Linked DNA regions of Notamacropus eugenii. The protein of the gene in region 1 binds, or shares a complex with, the protein of each later gene. Links are inferred from orthologs where the notes say so. Each region holds a gene or a part of one and is shown on either strand. Other genes may lie near its edges. The genes, in order: VDAC1 and PPIF.

The links.
Region 2: VDAC1 (region 1) and PPIF share a complex: the UniProt entries of both Homo sapiens proteins name them as parts of the mitochondrial permeability transition pore complex. The link is inferred for Notamacropus eugenii from reciprocal best matches to the Homo sapiens genes VDAC1 and PPIF.

The regions. Positions count from the first base shown.
Region 1 is NC_092872.1:341,432,994-341,441,434, forward strand, and holds the start of VDAC1 (non-selective voltage-gated ion channel VDAC1), read left to right. Parts: upstream 1-4,479; 5' UTR 4,480-4,642; intron 4,643-5,385; exon of another isoform or gene 5,386-5,491; intron 5,492-8,441. UniProt on the Homo sapiens protein: Non-selective voltage-gated ion channel that mediates the transport of anions and cations through the mitochondrion outer membrane and plasma membrane.
Region 2 is NC_092872.1:229,941,326-229,949,461, forward strand, and holds the start of PPIF (peptidyl-prolyl cis-trans isomerase F, mitochondrial), read right to left. Parts: upstream 3,357-8,136; 5' UTR 3,256-3,356; coding exon 3,049-3,255; intron 1-3,048. UniProt on the Homo sapiens protein: PPIase that catalyzes the cis-trans isomerization of proline imidic peptide bonds in oligopeptides and may therefore assist protein folding. Involved in regulation of the mitochondrial permeability transition pore (mPTP).

The DNA.
Region 1 (8,441 bases):
CAGACTAATAAGTTCTATAGGTGCAGCTGGCTACTATAGCAGGAAGGGAGATAATGGTTGTTGCTAGGGCAGACTGTGTCCTTGTGCTGGGGAGAAACTGCCTGAGATAGTATTTTGAGGCTAGGGAGAAATGTGATTTTTAAAGAGAAAGGTGATTTTAGAATTGGGGCCCAAGTACATGCACCCAAGCACCTCATTATTTTCATAGGAGACTCCCAAATTTCCATGCTATCATAAATCCATTTAGATATTTTGAATATATTAAGTTGAACAAAACAAAAACAAAATTGTGGCGGACAGCCTGCGTCCCCATGTGGGTAGGTGACAGCAGTAAAGAAAAAAGACATGCAGGCAGGCGGGAGAAGATAGGGCAACTCCATTTATTGAACCAAGGGTCAGGGTATTTATAGACAGAAACTGCAAGTCTACATGACAATTTACTGGTCTCTGTGCTAGTGACTTGGCCAGTCTTATTGCCTTAAAGAATGTTAGCCTAGAGGGCATCTATTTTACATATCCCTTGTATTCCCTAGTTCTCTTGCTTATCTCACTATTTCAGAGAGACAGCAACTTGGGAGGGGGACCTGGAGAGCCATTCTGGATGATAATGAGCACAGTCTTAAAGAATAGGTTCCCTGAAGTTCTATCCTGAACTTTGCCAACAGCACTCCATCCTAGCCCTCAACACAAAATCGCTAAATTTCTAAGAATTAGAGCAATTTAAAAGCAGACTAAGAGGACTGCCGATGTATAGGAGTTTGATCCAGGGGTGACAGACTTTTCTTTACTAGAAATATTTAAGTAGGGATTGGTTGATTACTTGTCAGGGATGCTGTAGAGAGAATTCTTAGTCAGGATGGTCTTTGAGGTTTCTTTCAATTCAGTGTCTCTGATTCTGAGGTTTTTTTTTTTATGTAGGGAATTCAATAGACAAATACTAGGAGGTAGGCTATTCCTAAGTTAAGGAATAGCCTAAGCAAAAGTACAGTAGTTTGAGAGAAGGCCACAATGTCTGGGCAGAAAGTAGTAAAATTTAGTTATAGTGCACTCATTTATTTCATGGTTCATAGGATATGGAGATGGAAATGACCAAAGAGATAATCTATTCTAATCCTTTTATAGATGATGGAGGAAACTAGCCGAGAGAGAGTGTATTAAGCCAGATTAGAATGTAGATCTTCTGACTTCAAATCCAGTGTTTGCACTAAAGTTGAGTGTCTAAACCAACCCTTCATCAGCTGATATACAGGTATATGCTTATTCTCTCAAATCCTAAAACAATAAGAATTTCCCAGAAAGGAAGGGTCTTGCCCAAGGTCACTGATCTAGGCTAGAGTCAGTCTAGGTAATGAAAAGTCATGGATAAAGAGTCCATGACATTTTTTCAAAAAAGCCCTCTTTGTCATAGTGTGTATCAGGAGTGGCCAGGTCAATCTACCTCCATTACAGGTACATTAATATATATAAAGCACTTTTCTAATAACCCTGCAAGGCATGAGGCAGGCATTGCAAATATAATTATTGCTATTTTACAGATGAGAAACCTGAATTCCAGACAGAGGAAATGATTTGTCCAGAACTGTCCAGGGTAAGCATCAAACACAGGTCTTCTCACACTACCTCCACTGCTATACCATACTGTATGGTATGGCACTTTAAGAGATAGAAATTTGATTTCAGCTTTAGGCAGTGCCTGGAGGTCAAAGAATGAAGATTGTGCTGTTGACTGTTAAGAGTGACTGGGTGGCAAAGAAATGGAAATTGTGGGGAATGCCCATCAATTGGGGAATGGCTGTAGCACATGAATGTAACAGAACACTACTGTGCTATAAGAAATGATGAGCAGGCAGATTTCAGAAAACCTGGAAAGACTTTGAACTGATGCTGAAGAAAGCAAGCAATCAGGAGAATATTGTACATAGTTACAGCAACGATGTTTGATGATTAACTTTGATAGAATTATCTCTTGTCAGCAATACAATGATCCAAGACAATTTCAAAAGATTCATAATGGAAAATGTTATCTACCTCCAGAGAAAGAACTAAGGAGTTTGAATGCAGATTGAAGCATACTATTTTCACTTTTGTGTGGGGTTTTGGATTCTTTTTTCCTTTTTGTTCTGTTTCTTCTTTCAAAACATGACTAATGTGGAAATAGGTTTAACATAAATGCACACAGATAACCTACATCAGATTGCTTGCTCTTTAGGGGACGGGAGAAGGGAAAGAGGAGGGAGGCAAAATTGGAACTTAAAATCTTACAAAAATGAATGTTGAAAACTATCTTTACATGCAATTGGAAAAAACAAAATATTATTTACAAAAAAAAAAAAAGTGACCAGGAAACAAGAGACCTAGGTTCTAGTCCCAACTAATTCTCTCCTCATTGTCTCAATTTCTGTGATGGCAATCAAATTAGGATCTTTTGCTGTTTTTATTTTACTAAAATGATGTGATTAAAGAACATCTTCTTCATCCGTTGATGGGCCTGCCCTTAGAGGGAAGCTTGATTAGGGGAGTTGTTTTGTAGGAAGGTCCCAAATACCTTTTGTTTTCTCTATTGAGGCACTGGATCAGCGGGTTATGCCCTCTGGCTCTGAAAAGTGTGTATAAATATTCTGAAGGTAAGGTTTTATTTTGCAGCTTACTGACTAGAAGTGTTTGTTTGGCCAGAGGAGGACTCTGGGAAGCAGCTAAGGAGTCCTTCTCCCTCCCGCTTTGAGAAACCCAGATGTTCCCTCTCTGGTAAAAATGTGTATATGTTAATGGGCAGACATTTTAGAAGCATGTGTGCTGACTTTTGATTTCTTAGTATTTTTTCTGAAGTTCAGGTGCTGACTTTTTCTCCTGAACTAACTGAATGATACATTTGCTTGATTAAAATGATTGTTAACCCCTCAAAGGTTGCCTTTCCCTTTAGAGAAGCAGATCAAAGAACCTGTGGTAGCAGGCCCCACTGTATATATTTCGGTGCTTACTGATACAGTTTCCCCATCATCATTCTTGTTCTGGTATTCTGTGGATCTATGATTGTTTGAGTAAGAGGGAGCCAGGATAGAAACAAGAAACATTATAATTTAATCTTTGTGATAGCAAAGAAGAGATACTATTTCTACCTCTTGCGTTAGAGATAGAAGATACATTGTAGAGATATTCTCTGTGTAATTCTGTTAGATAAAATGGAGCATTTAGATGCTTCTGTGATTCATTCCAAGTTGTCCTAGATTCTTGGGTTATTTCCCCCTCCCACCTTCACTACCAGTACAATAAGGAAATATAAAATGTCAGTTATTATTACTGTTGTTATCCCTGTACTTTCTACATATATATCTTAAGTCCTGGGACATGATTACTGATGTTCAGAACCTGCAGTCTCAATAGGTTTTTACAAGGCAAAGAAGGGTTCATTGATCTTGTCTCAGATTGGAGCCCAAAGGCAGAGCCATGGTTTCTGGCTCAATCTCAGTGATTTTTCAATGACGCCAACCCCTCCTAAGTTATGAAGAGTCTAGTTCTTGGAACTACAAGATAAGGAACCCAAATAGCCCCTTAGTCACAGGGTATGTCAAGTCAGCACCTGGTGAAGCACAGGGCAAAAGTATATGGTCACATATGGTATATGTGACCAATTGTGATTGGCCACATTTATGGTTATTTTGTCTGTCCTCAGATATGCCAACCCTAGCACAACTTAATTTGGTTTCCAAAGGTGGAACATGAAATTGTCAAAGAACAAAACAAACAGGAGAGATCAAGAATTAGGCTTGTGGCTCAGAATCCTGAGAGGTTCCTGGGAGAACTGAGCTCAGATTTAGAGCTAGAAAGAACCTTAGGTGTCATCTAGGCTGAATCTCCATTTTCAACCACGTTGAAACTGAGGTCCAGTGAGGATTAGTGATTTGTGCAAAGTCATACAGGTAAGCAAATAACAGTTCAGATTTGAATAGTGATTTTCAACCTACTGCTTTTTCTCTGTTTATTAAGTGTGACTGATTTCTTTTAGATCTAAAATTGTGGACCTAGGATAAAGTATGTTGCTTACTAATAGAGGCAGTTCGGAGTGGTAGAAAGAGCTTTTGGACTGAAGGATACTTGATCGGAGAATTGGATTGGAAAAAAAGGCTCCGCCACTCACTAGCTTTAAAACCTTAGGCAAGACTTCTAACTAACTTCTCTGAGCTTAATCTATAAAATGGAGGATAATAATCCTTGCCTGTCTACCACATGGAGTTGTAAGGAAAGTCCTCTGTAAAATGCAAAGTGCTGTGGAAATGGGAGCAGAGCAGAAGAGCCCATAGGTTCAAGGGCAGACACAGAAGTGCATACACGTCGAAAGCAGCCATTCTAAACAAGCCACAAGAGGCAGGAGACAGATGGAGAAAGGAAACTGGGAGGGGGGAAGGACAGGGAGAGGGGGAAGGGAAGCAAGGGTGGGGACAAGAGCAGCGGAGGGAGGCGGGAAAGGAAAAATGGAAGAAGGGGAGGAGATTGACTCGGAGCCCGGAGGAGCCCGCACCCGGGGGCGGGCTCGCGCCGCCGCCGTGCTCCGCGCCCCGCCCCGCTCCCCCGCAGCCTCTGCCGCCCCTTTGCCTCTGTGTCCGCCGCCCTCTGCTGCTCCCGCTGCGTTCGCCGGGAGAGGAAGGTAGGGACCCCCCCCCCCAAAAAGCCCTCTATCCCCCCAGCTTCCCTTCTGTGCCCCGGAGGCGTCAAGGCTGGGGCACAGATCGGCGGAGGCTGCTTGATTTCGTGCGGAGCTGCTGCTGCGCCTACCCTGGCCACTGCCCGGGCGACCTGGCCTAGAGCCTGACCCTGAGGTCTGGGGCGGGGGCCCTCGGGCGCAGCCTAGCAGGGCACAACCCAACCCGACCCGGCCGGGATGTGGGGGCGCGCCGAATGAGTGGGGCTGCGGTGGCCGAACCGGACTGACCGCGCTGCACTGTCACCGCTGCCCTCTTGGGAGCCCTGGCCCGGGGTAGGGGGGGCCCTGCTGGCGCCCCGCTTTTTGGCCCCCTCAGCCTCGCGCCCGTGCTCCCCGAGACCCTGCCTGGGGCTGCGCGGGCTAGGGGCCTGCGCTGGGGAGGGAAGCTGGCAGGCCCGGGCGCAGCGCCACGCAGCGCTGCTGGGGACGTGACCTTCCCGGCCGGGAGCTGCGGGGCCGCGTGTGCGGACCGTGTTGCCGGTCGGGCCGGAGGCAGCCCCTGGACCCCCGCACTCTCACCGCCTTGGCTTCCCTCTCTAGTGCACATCCCCAGCCGCGGGCACCCAAACTCCACCTGCGCCTGGCTTCCACCCGGGCCTCACCCGGTGGATAGAGACCCCTAGTCTCCCCACTTTGACTTCGCACTGTCGCCCACTTTTTGGCCTTCTATTAAAACATGCCCACAGGGTTAATTGGTGTTTGGTTGGCGCTGCTTTCTCGAAGACTGTCCCTGGATAGCAGCGGCCCTTGACAGCGGCCCAGCCACACAGACAGCAGGCCACATGGCCTACGGTGAGACCGGGTGCAATTCTACCTTTGTGGAAACAGAAATACCTTCGCTCGCAAATTATTCTGTGTTAGGAAGAGAAGGGATCCTAGAGATAATGGGTTTTAATCCCCATTTTGGTCCCAGATGATGAAACTGAGACCCAAGAAGGAAAAAGAATTGGCCCAAGGTCACACTGTTCTGAGCGAGACGGAGTCTCCAGCTTGAGTCTCCTGGCTCCCTGTGCCGGGATATTTGCATTATCGAAATCTTGTTTTCCTTGTGCCTAACGTGATTGTTCTTCTGTGAAACACGTCCCTAGAATTATCAGGGAAGATTTGCTCAAATAAATATTCTAGCATTTTCTAGATTTGTGAATTAGTTACATAGTTGCTATTAACCTCGGCCATTCACTGAGGTGAATAATTAGAGGAGTGAGAAATAAATGTTCAAGGGGAAATGACTCTACTCGAAACCACATTCTCCCCGCCCCCTCTCCCCCCAGCTTAATGAGGATAACCTATTAGAGTGATAACTGCTGGGTGGCTGGAAGAAATAGCTCAGATCTGCTGGCTGCAGCTGTTAGAATTGCTAAAAGCCCCCAAAAGTCCTTTGAAATACATTTTTAAAAGTCATTTGGTGTCTCCATGAGGGAGTCTTAACCATGGTCGCTCCCTTCTCTTCTCTCTCCAATCTAAAGGGGAAAAGAGGTTTGCACAAATAACTAATGCAAGAAAGAAAAGGATAGGAGGAGGGTGTGTGAATGAGTGTCTTGTGCACTTAGAAAAATACTTCTGGTCTCCTCTTTATCCCAAATATACTTTCCATGGGAAATTGAAAATTAATTATTGCTTGGTCAAAGTCATTTACATATTGGTGGGTGTGGTCAGAAACTTTTTAAAAAAATCTGCCTGCCTTAAATTAGTCTGGGCTCTGTCACTAGCTCACTTTATGACCTTGAATAAGTCCCCTCTCTGGACCTCAGCCAGGGCGTTGGACTTTGTGATATTTAAGGTCTTTTTCTACTCTGATACCTCATGACTCTGAATACCTCCTTATATTTTAGTGTTAGTGATGTAGTGATACACATCCCTCCTCACAATTTTTGACGACTTGGCAGGATCCATGATGCACCAGTTTCTCTTAGATGAGCCTTTGGTTGTGAGTGGGTCAGTTCCTAACCCATTGCTTAGCTCTGAGCTAATAATATTATAGTTAACAAAGATTAAGTATGCATTCCTGAATGAGATGCCAAGAACCAAAGTTCTGTTCAAGAATAGATTACATATTTTTTCCCCCATCATGACATTGTCTCTTTAAACAAAGTGAAACACCAATTCCCCTGACTTTCACAGGCCCCAGCCAAGATTGGGGAACTGATGATACTTGCAAAAGGCTAGTGAGTTTGTTTTAGCCCACTCGTGTACACTTGGAAATCTTTCAGCCTCCCCCTGGATGGCCTAGCAACTTTCGACTGAGTCATCCAAAAACTGAGCATCCAGGTTTTCAAAATTCCTTTGTCTTTATTTCTTTTTTTTATTTTATCTTTTCCTTAATCCTGTTACATAGCATATTATTGTTTCCTCTGCATGTAGAGGGTAAGCAATTTGCCCCAAATCTCATAGCAAGTTTGCAGCAGAGCCAAGACTAGGAATCTGGTCTTCTAAGTGCCAGTTAATGCATTTTTTGCTTTACTGTGTTACTAACTTAAATCTTTTCTAAAAATGCTCTCAGTGTCTAATCAGAACTGTATTTGAATGTTATGATCCTATAATTTTGATAGAATCTTGTAAAACTTGTGCAAAGCCTCATTTTGCTCTTTGGTGACTGTTGGAGAAGATGCTTCATCATCAGCATCACCCTCTGTATTCTTCCCGCAATTCCACATCCAAGTGACAAATCAGAATGGAGGGCATCAAACCAGTGAATTATCAGATATTTGCAATTTCCCCTGACCACCTCTTTGTAGGCAGGAAAGGCATATCTTCATAAGAGTTTCTTCCCAAAAAGTCCACTGTAGGCTTATAAATGTGTTAAGCAAAAGAATGAATGGTACCAACTTGAAAATCACTTTGAATGATTGGCCATCCTGACTTGTGGGCTTTCGTTGAAAATGTGAGTACAGAAAGTGACTTGGCTCACATTTTTGTCTAAAGTGGTTAGTTGTCCGTATTTTATAGGTAAAGAAGGCTGAAGCTAATTAGAGCTTCATACTAACAGAAATGTCAATAACTCACATTGTGAAGTTGGCCAGATCATTGCCATCTCTGAGCTTTAGTTTCCTTCCTTGTAAAATATTGGAGTTGAACTGGAGACCATGGATTCTTAATTTTTTTTTGTCATGGATGCCCATGCAGTTTGGTGAAGTCTAGGGGTCCCTTTTCAGAATAATGTTTTTAAATGAATGAAATAGAATACATAGGATTACAAAAGAAACTAATTCTACTGAAAACAGTTATCCAAGTATATTAAAACAATTTTTTAAAATAGATTCCAGCTTAAAAATCCACAGATCAGCACTGCGAAATATGACTCCTGCTTGTTTATGTGCAGCTGTGGGCTAAGAATTGTTTTCACATTATAAAGTTTTATTGAATTTTAAAATGTAAAAACAATTCTTAACTTGCTGGCTGTACAAAAATAGGTAATCCTGCAGGTGCATTTGGCCCTTGAGCTATAGTTTGGGGACCCTTGGACTAGGCTCTTGCCTAGCCATAATAATCTATGAGCCTGTGAGAAAAGATCCACAACTTTGTTGGTTGGGCATTTTCACTTTAGTCCTCGCATTGTTTCTTGATTCCATTCAACTTTCATGAAAATGTGCTCTATTCACAAAAGTGGGAGCATGGATGGCACATTACTGGCAAAAGAGAAAGAGATTTAGATCAGAAATTAGGGAAACCTAGGTTTGTGTCTCAGGGATGATACAAACTGTGACCTTGGACCTTGTGTGGAGCCCTAAGTTGTGTACTGGAG
Region 2 (8,136 bases), about 110 Mb from region 1:
ATGGAAACTTCAGACTGATGGGAATGATAGTCTGACCTAGAAAGACCTAATTCTAGTCCAGGACTGGATTAATCCATATTCTCTCCCCACTACCATCTCAGGTTCTTTTATACCTGAACCAAACAAACCTGACCTGGGTTGAATACCACTTTGGACATTTAGTTATAGCGTGAAAGCTGTCATCAACATCAAGTTACAACCTCTCTGCCTTCACTTTCCTAACGGTAAAAGGGGCATAATAACGGCATTAACATCATAGGGTGGTTAAGGGTCAGGTCTATAAAGAGCTTGGGTAAAATTTTAAACACAATTTGGGAGCTACAATTCATATTATTTTCCTTAATGGTATGAACTAGCACCAAAAAGATAAGTGTATATTACTGAGAGAGACACCACACCGGCATCCACTTTCTGGATGCCACCAAAGCTGTTTTTCAAGGGACCCTTAACTGGTTAGGGTCTTTAACATGAGGGGAGGGAAAGGAAGGCCAGGCGATAAGGGCAGAAGTGCTTCAAGTTCATTTGCCCAGGACTGATTGTCATAGGAGGAACAGGGGGTGGAATCCTTGACCAAGAGCTTTCCTTCAGCCCAAAGTAACCTCTACCCACTCCCCCACTCCTGCACCACACCTGGACCACTCCATCAGGCCTTACAGTGAGAGAGGAGGATAATTCACAATGCAGTCAGGCCCTGCTTCTCTCACTTACTAGCTGTATGACCTTGAGCAAGTAACTTAAATTTCTCTTCCAGTTTCCTCATCTATAAAATGCAGTAACAATGCCTGCACTGCCTACTTCACACAACTGTTGTAAGAAAAATCCTTTATAAGCTTCAAAACCCTATAAAAATGGGATTTTTTTCTATAGTATTCTAAGCTGCAAAGCTCTATAAACATGTAAGTTTATCATCTTTCCAACACTTCCACACTTGACGATTATCTTATACAACCAGCTTACAGGTTCCTGAAAGGCAAAAATTAGAATAATAATAGCTTTTATAGAAATAAAAACTAACATTTATACAAATCTTACTATATGCCAGGCACTGTGCTAAACTCTTTATAAGTATTATTTCACTGATTTTCACAACAGCCCTGGGAGGTAGGTGCTGTTATTATCCTCGTTTTATAGTTGAGGAAACTGAGACAAACAGAGGTTAAATGACTTGCCCAAGATCATTCATTATGTCTTTTCTTCTTATAGGTTCTCAAGATGTCTAGCACCAGGGCTGAGCTCACAATAAGAGAACCCCAATTTTAAGGCCAGAAGCTATTTTACTAATCTTCTAACAGATCCTTCACATTTTATAAGATGAGAAAATTGAGGTTGAGCACAGGAAAAGCGATTTGTGCCAGGTCAGAAAGCAAGTTAGTGGCTCCTGACTCCTAGTCATCCTCCACATTTGTGTACCGGCTTGAAACCTTTTCTAAATCTACTAATACTCACAACAATCCTGTGAAGCAGGTGCATAAATATGTCCAATTTACAGACAAGGAAACTGAGGGATGCCCAGAGGTTTACATCAGACCTGATGGAGCATTCAACAACTATTTGTTGGATTAAAAGGCTACTTGATTCAGGGTCATGATGACCACTTTGGGTGGCAACCTTTGAGGAAAGGCCCTGCCAGCTCCTATTCACACAAGCCTAGGACAACTACTGCCATGCCTTGGCTCCAGGTTATCACTGGCTGTCCAAGTCATCTGAGGGCGGGTGGCTAGAGAAAGCAAGGAGCCTCTGAGCACACAAAAAACAAGAGTCCTAGGCAAGCCTAGCTCCAACTAGTAGAATCAATAGAAGACAAGGATCTCATTCAGCATTTTGCCAGCACAGGACACTGCTTAGTTCTCCCTGCTCAACGGAGCTCTATGCCTTCTCTCATACACCCTTCATCCACCAGCTTCCCCCACATTGCTGAATGGAAAATCAAACTGTAAAGTCACTGAGGCAAAGGAATGTGCCCTATCTATCTCTACTTCTGTATGTCTCTCAGTGCCTGACTCAATCCTAATTAATCAAATAAATCTGCAAGAGGCCATAGGCTATAATGAAAAGGGTCCCGGGCTTTAGTTAAGGAAACTGGGGATCAAATCCCACCTCGAACATTTACTGGCTGTGAGGCAGGGTCTCAAGATTCTCAACTATGGGGATCATTAGAGGTACTACTAGCTACTTCACAAAGTTGTAGTGAGGGAAGCACTTGATACATTGTAAAAACTTATATAAAAGTGAGTTATTATTACTATTATATGGAATGAGCTAAGTGAGGATGGCTAGTCTCAAACCTCCAGGACTCGAAATTCCAGGGCTTTATGGGGATGGAGTTGCGGACTCCAAAACCCACACAAGCAAACACTTATGCAAATAGTTGCTGGGGCCACGTGACCCTCGGTGGTTTGCTTTTTTTTTCCCTCCCCAACCTAGGAGCCAAGAATTCTGAATCCTCTCCCCAACCCCCAAAGCCAGAGCTCCTCTCCCGCTCCCTTGGAAGGGCAATTAGGCTGCCTAGGGCGGGGATTCCTGATAACAGCTCTACCCAGCAGTTCTTCATTTTGACCTTTCCCGTTCACCTCTGCCCCCTAGTCCCCCAATCCTTATACAGTGGGGCCAGACCTGCTGGCCCTTGACTTCTCCGGGGATGACCTTGAACTAATTTTCCCAATGTTTCTCTCCCTCCACTCCCGGGGAGAGAGGAGCAAGGCTTCCCAACTCCCCCACCCCTGCCTCTGAAAACTTAAAATTCATAAAGTTGGGGGGGGGGGGTGACCGCTGGAAGACAGACCACTTCTCCAATCTCATCAGTTTCCTCATTTCTGATACGAGGCCCGGAGTGATTGACAGACTCGTTTAAGGCAGATGCCAAACCCGCGGTCCAAGCGCCTTCCCACGACTCTCCGCGTGAAGGGTCCGAGAAGCTGCCCGGACGGTGCCCCCCCTCCCTCCGGGACCATCCCCCCAATCAGAGGGCCAGCGCCAGGCCCCGCCCCCTCCGCCCATGACCTTGAGCTGGGGCCGGCCCGGCGCAGCCCAGCGCGGCTCTGCACCCACCTCCAGCACCACCCGGCCGAGCGGCTGCTCCTCGGCGCCCACGTCCAGGTAGACGAGCGGGTTCTTGGCGGCCCCGCCGGGCCCCGAGTCGGAGCTGCTGGCGCTGCTACGGGCGCCGCGGAGCCGGGCGAGCGTGGGGGCCGCGGAGATCCGCCGCGGGGCCAGGCCCAGGCTCAGCAGGCGGGGGCCGGCGCGCAGGGCCAGCATCGCGGACCGAGGCGCACGGAAGGCAGGAGAAGCGGGGAACGGAGAGCGTGCGCACGGACCGAGGGGCGCCCGCTGCGTCCTGAAGCGCGAAAGGAACGCCCGCCCCTCCGCACTCGGGCTTTTAACCCCGCGGCGGCCCCGCCCCTGGGCGTGGGCATGGAGGCTGGAGGCTGGGCACACCTACCAGCCTGCCCGCGGTGACTTCCTCCAGCCGGGCCTGGGGCACCTGCCCTGGCTTTCCCATCCAGGGCTTTTGTTGGGCACGGGAGGGGGACTTCCCCTAGGATTGCCTCATCTGTGCGCAGGGAACTTCCGAATGAGCAAACTCCCTTCACCAATGCGAGTGGGCACTTTCTGTGCAGTTTACACTCAACACAGGTGCCTACTGTGATAACACAGGTGCCTACAGTGATAACACAGGGTCACAAAAACACTATCAGAGGCTGCGCTGGAGTCCAGGTGTTGCCCCGAGGTGAACACTGTCCTCCTGGCTGTTCTACGAACAAGACCCTCCACCTCTCAGCTCTCTACCATGCCTGGAATAGCTCTCCTTCCTCCACTCTGACTACTGACCCCTCGGCTTCCATTAAGTACCAATTAAAATCCTATCTTTTGTTGGAAGCCTTTCTCATCCCCTCTAATTCTAGTGCATTCCCCCTATGGTTTCCTATTTATCATAAATATAGTTATTGTAATCGTTAAGTCGTTTTAGCCCTGTCCAACTCTTCATTTTGGGCTTTCTTGGCAAAGATACTGGAGTGGTTTGTCATTTCCTTCTCCATCTCATTTTACAGACGAGGAAACAGAGGCAGATAGGGTTAAGTGACTTGCCCAGGGCCACACAGCAGGTAAGTATCTGAAGCCAGACTCATACTCCTCAACAGGAGTCTTCCCGACTCCAGACCCAGTACTCTATCCACTGCTATCACCTAGCTGCTTGAATACAGCTTGCATCATATAAATTTGTTTGCATATTTTCTCTCCCATTTTGTTATAAACTCTTTGAGGGTTAGAACTGTCTTTTTTCTCTTTTTTTAATCCCTTGGCACATAGTATACACTTAATAAATATTTATTGAATTGAATTGAAATTGATTAATTGATTCCTGATTCCAAAGACAGCTTTCTATCCACTGGCATACAGTGTGTTGACCTGGAAGTTTGGTTAAAAAAAGACAAACAGGCTAAATGCATATTGTGTGTTCCCTTAAAGCTAGCAGTTACATGATCATGGAGCCAGAAAAACTTCTGGCTGACTAATACAAGAATGATCAGGCTCAAATCTGTTTTAGGACAATCCAAGATTGTCTGTGTCCTTCAGATTTGTGGTCTGTATGAATGATTAACTATACCACGAGAAAGGAATTTCTTAATTGCATAGGTTGTAAATATAATAAGATAACAGAGATGACAAGGTTTCTATTGAAATCACGACCTGAGGGATCTGTGTTTTCTTTACCATTAACATTCCATGACATAGTATATGTCCCCAAGATATTAAGATATGGAAAAAGTCCCATCATTCAAGATAGTGTCTAGGGTTAAGGGCCTCCTAAGGAATGCTAAGTCAGCCCCATCTGGCTTTGTTAACATAGGAAGAGGTATTCTCTGAGTTTACTTCAGAGAACAAAGAGACTGTTAGATCCAGGCTCTTCTTCTAATTGATTAATTCAAGCTCTGGCCCTTATTAAAGTCCAAAACTTATATTATATGATTATCAAGCGATAACATATTGTCTTGGTGTTGCTGATGAGAAAACTGAGGGTGGGACAGATGAAGTGGTCTTCCAGGAACTGAGAAATCCCCTGAGGCTTGATGGGATCATCTTTCTCTCCCATTCTCTGAACTGTTGGAGATAGGTAAGAAGTTTTCTCACTCTTTTTTTAGACAAAAGGCTCTCAAGTTTTGGCTCCTATGTCAGGAAATAGAGTTAGTTGCAAGAAGACAGGGACAGAGACCTATCAGGAGAGTGAAAGACAAAAATACATAGTGATGCAGAGAACCTCAGACAGGTGGGGGGAAATGGGAACTCTTTGCTTTGTCCTTCTCAGATGCTGTTATATGTTATAGTTATCTAAGAATATTCTCCTCTTGGATTGCAAAGCTTCTGCCGTGAGGGCAGAGATTGTGTCACTTAAATTTCAGTTTGGAAGCCCTTGATACTTTTCCCAGTTTCAGTATGGCTGACTTGTGTAATCATTTATGCATCTTACCACCAAAGTCATCTAGTTCAACATTGTTACCAAGTCATTCAAGTAACCTAATAGCAAAAGCTTTTAATTAAGATACAAAATCAGTGTAACTAATAAGGAAATAATTAAACAATGGGGTCATTCTCTGCTACCCATATACAACTGAGCTTAATATCTTTGTCATCCAAAGTAATGGATATGGAAGAAAACCTCTTAGGGAAAATGGATGAAGAAGTAAAGAAACCTTATCATTGCTCTCTCAATGACCTCCAAGGAAATCTGCTAATCTATACCGGAAGGCTAGAATTTGCCAAAACCTCTCAGCTGTGGAGTCATTAGGTTCTGCCAGGATCTTGGCTTAGGGACACCTTGGTAGTACCTCAGCGCCCTCAGTAGGACTGCATAGATCACAGCCTTCAGCTTTCCTGTCCATCAAATCACCTAGTTTCAGACTCTAAACAAGCTTTTCTTTTTTCTTAAGTCTCCCCTTCTGTTTTCTTCATTTTCCAAGTTTGTGCTTCATCATGCAATCCGTGAGTCCAGGAGCCCCAAACTTTCTTGAATGGACCACAGGGCTCTGCCTTCTGAAGCTGGAGCCCTATCCCCTGCCTCATTTAAACTCCAACCTTCATAGGGTTGATGTGGAGAAGGTACCTTGTGAACCTTAAAACACCCTATAAATGTGAGCTTTAAAATCATTCTTATTAGTAATAATTAAAAATCAGTGTGAAGTGAGTGCTAAATGATATGGTTTCTATTCTCCATTTATTTTCCCAAACCCTATTCCTTATGGTGAGTATATAGATTGATTGTATCCACCATGAGTATTTTCCATCCTCTTTCCCCTTTCCAGGGCCCTCCCAGCAATGCTACCAGGTTAAAACCTTCTCATACTGCCCCCAAAAGGAATAGGACTATGGATAATATCAGAGAGACACTGTCCTCCCATCTCTCCACAGCTTAAAGTTCTAAATGGCCAAAAAAAATAATAATAAAAGGAAAGCTACTCCCTGGAAAATTAAAAAAAAATCATCAGGACTTTAGAGACCAAGTCCCTCATTTTACAGAATGGGAAATGGAGGCCAAAGAGGGGAAGTCATTTGTCTACGGTCCCTCAAATGGTTAGTTGCTGAGCTGTTACTGAGACCCAGGCTTTGCCATCATCTGTATCTCTCAAGGCAGACCAAACCTGGGACAGACAGCAAGTGCCTTCTCTCGCTGACAGAGAGATGGGAGGTTCAAGGGCAGCCATGCAGATAGCGGAGGAAAGATTTCTCCAATGAGGGGATACTCAAATATTGTATTCCTTCAGTAGAATATATACTCTTTGAGGAAAGATGAAGTAAAGTCCTAAGTATGAAATACTTAGAACGGGACATGTCAGCACTCAATAAATACTTGCTGCTCGGTTTATAGGCTTTAACACATGTATCCCATTGAACTGAATTGTATCTAGTCCTGCTGACATCTGTGATGCAAGAATTCTTTCTGAAAACATTGCCCCCAAGTCTAGATGGTCATCAGTATGTTCAACTGTTTCCCCTCATGTGGATCTGAAAGGCTCTCCCCTTTTTTCCAAATAAGATATGAGCCACTGGAGCTGCCCAGAACAGGGGTGATGACTGTGTGTCTCTTCCCTGTGACAGCCCCTGTTTGACAACTCTGTCTCCTTTTCTCCATGCTAAGCATGTTCCTTCGACCATTTTTACAAGATGCATTTCCCAGAAACTTTTCTATGCTGGAAAGAGTAGAAAAGAGCCTTAGCTCTGGAGACAGAAAACCTGGCTTTGAATATCAGCCCTGCTCCTTCAATACTAGGGGAATGACCCTGGTTGTTAATTAGTCTGTCTTTCATCACCTTCCTCCCGGCTTTGGAAGTAAGGATCAAAAGAGAATAATGGAAGTCAGGCGTTTTGCAAATAGGAAAGTAACTAGAGGCATTCTAACAGAATGAATGGGAAGAGTTCAGGGAGAACTCCCTGAGTTATTAGCAATGATACCATGAACAAGTCCCTTCATTTCTGCTGGCCTCATCTGTAAAATGGGTGTGATAATGGCATCCAGTTGTGAGCTGGTTCATAAGACCACAGATATGGAGTTGGAGAAGACCCCAGAAGCTGTGTAGTTCACTCCCTTCATTTGGCAGGTAAGTGACTTGCCCAAGATTACATTTTTAAAATGTCTAGAATATATATCCTATAAAAATGTGGCTGAAGGAATATTTAACAAGGAGAAAAGAAGACCTAGTTGTTTCCAAACAGGGTGGTCATGGGGAAAAAGCATTTGTTACACCTGTTTGGGGCAGCCCTAGAGGGAAGAAGGAGAACCAGTGGGTCAAACTTACAGAGGAAAGAATTTTAGTTCAAGATAAAGAAAAACTTTAACTATTAACTCATATTGATGATCATTCTCTAGTAGTCAATCAGTAAGCATTTATTAACTCTTATTATGTGTCAAATTCTGGGATATAAAAAAAGACAAAATACCATCCCTATTCTCAAAGAGTCAACAGTCTAATGGGGGAGACATGCAAACAACTATGTACAAGCAAGCTATGGATAGGATAAATTGGAAATAATCAACAGAGGAAAGTTACTAGAATTAAGGGAAGGGGTAGGGCAGGCAGGTGGCACAGTGGATAGAGCACTGGGCTTAGAATCAGGAGGACTCATCTCCTTGAGTTCAAATCC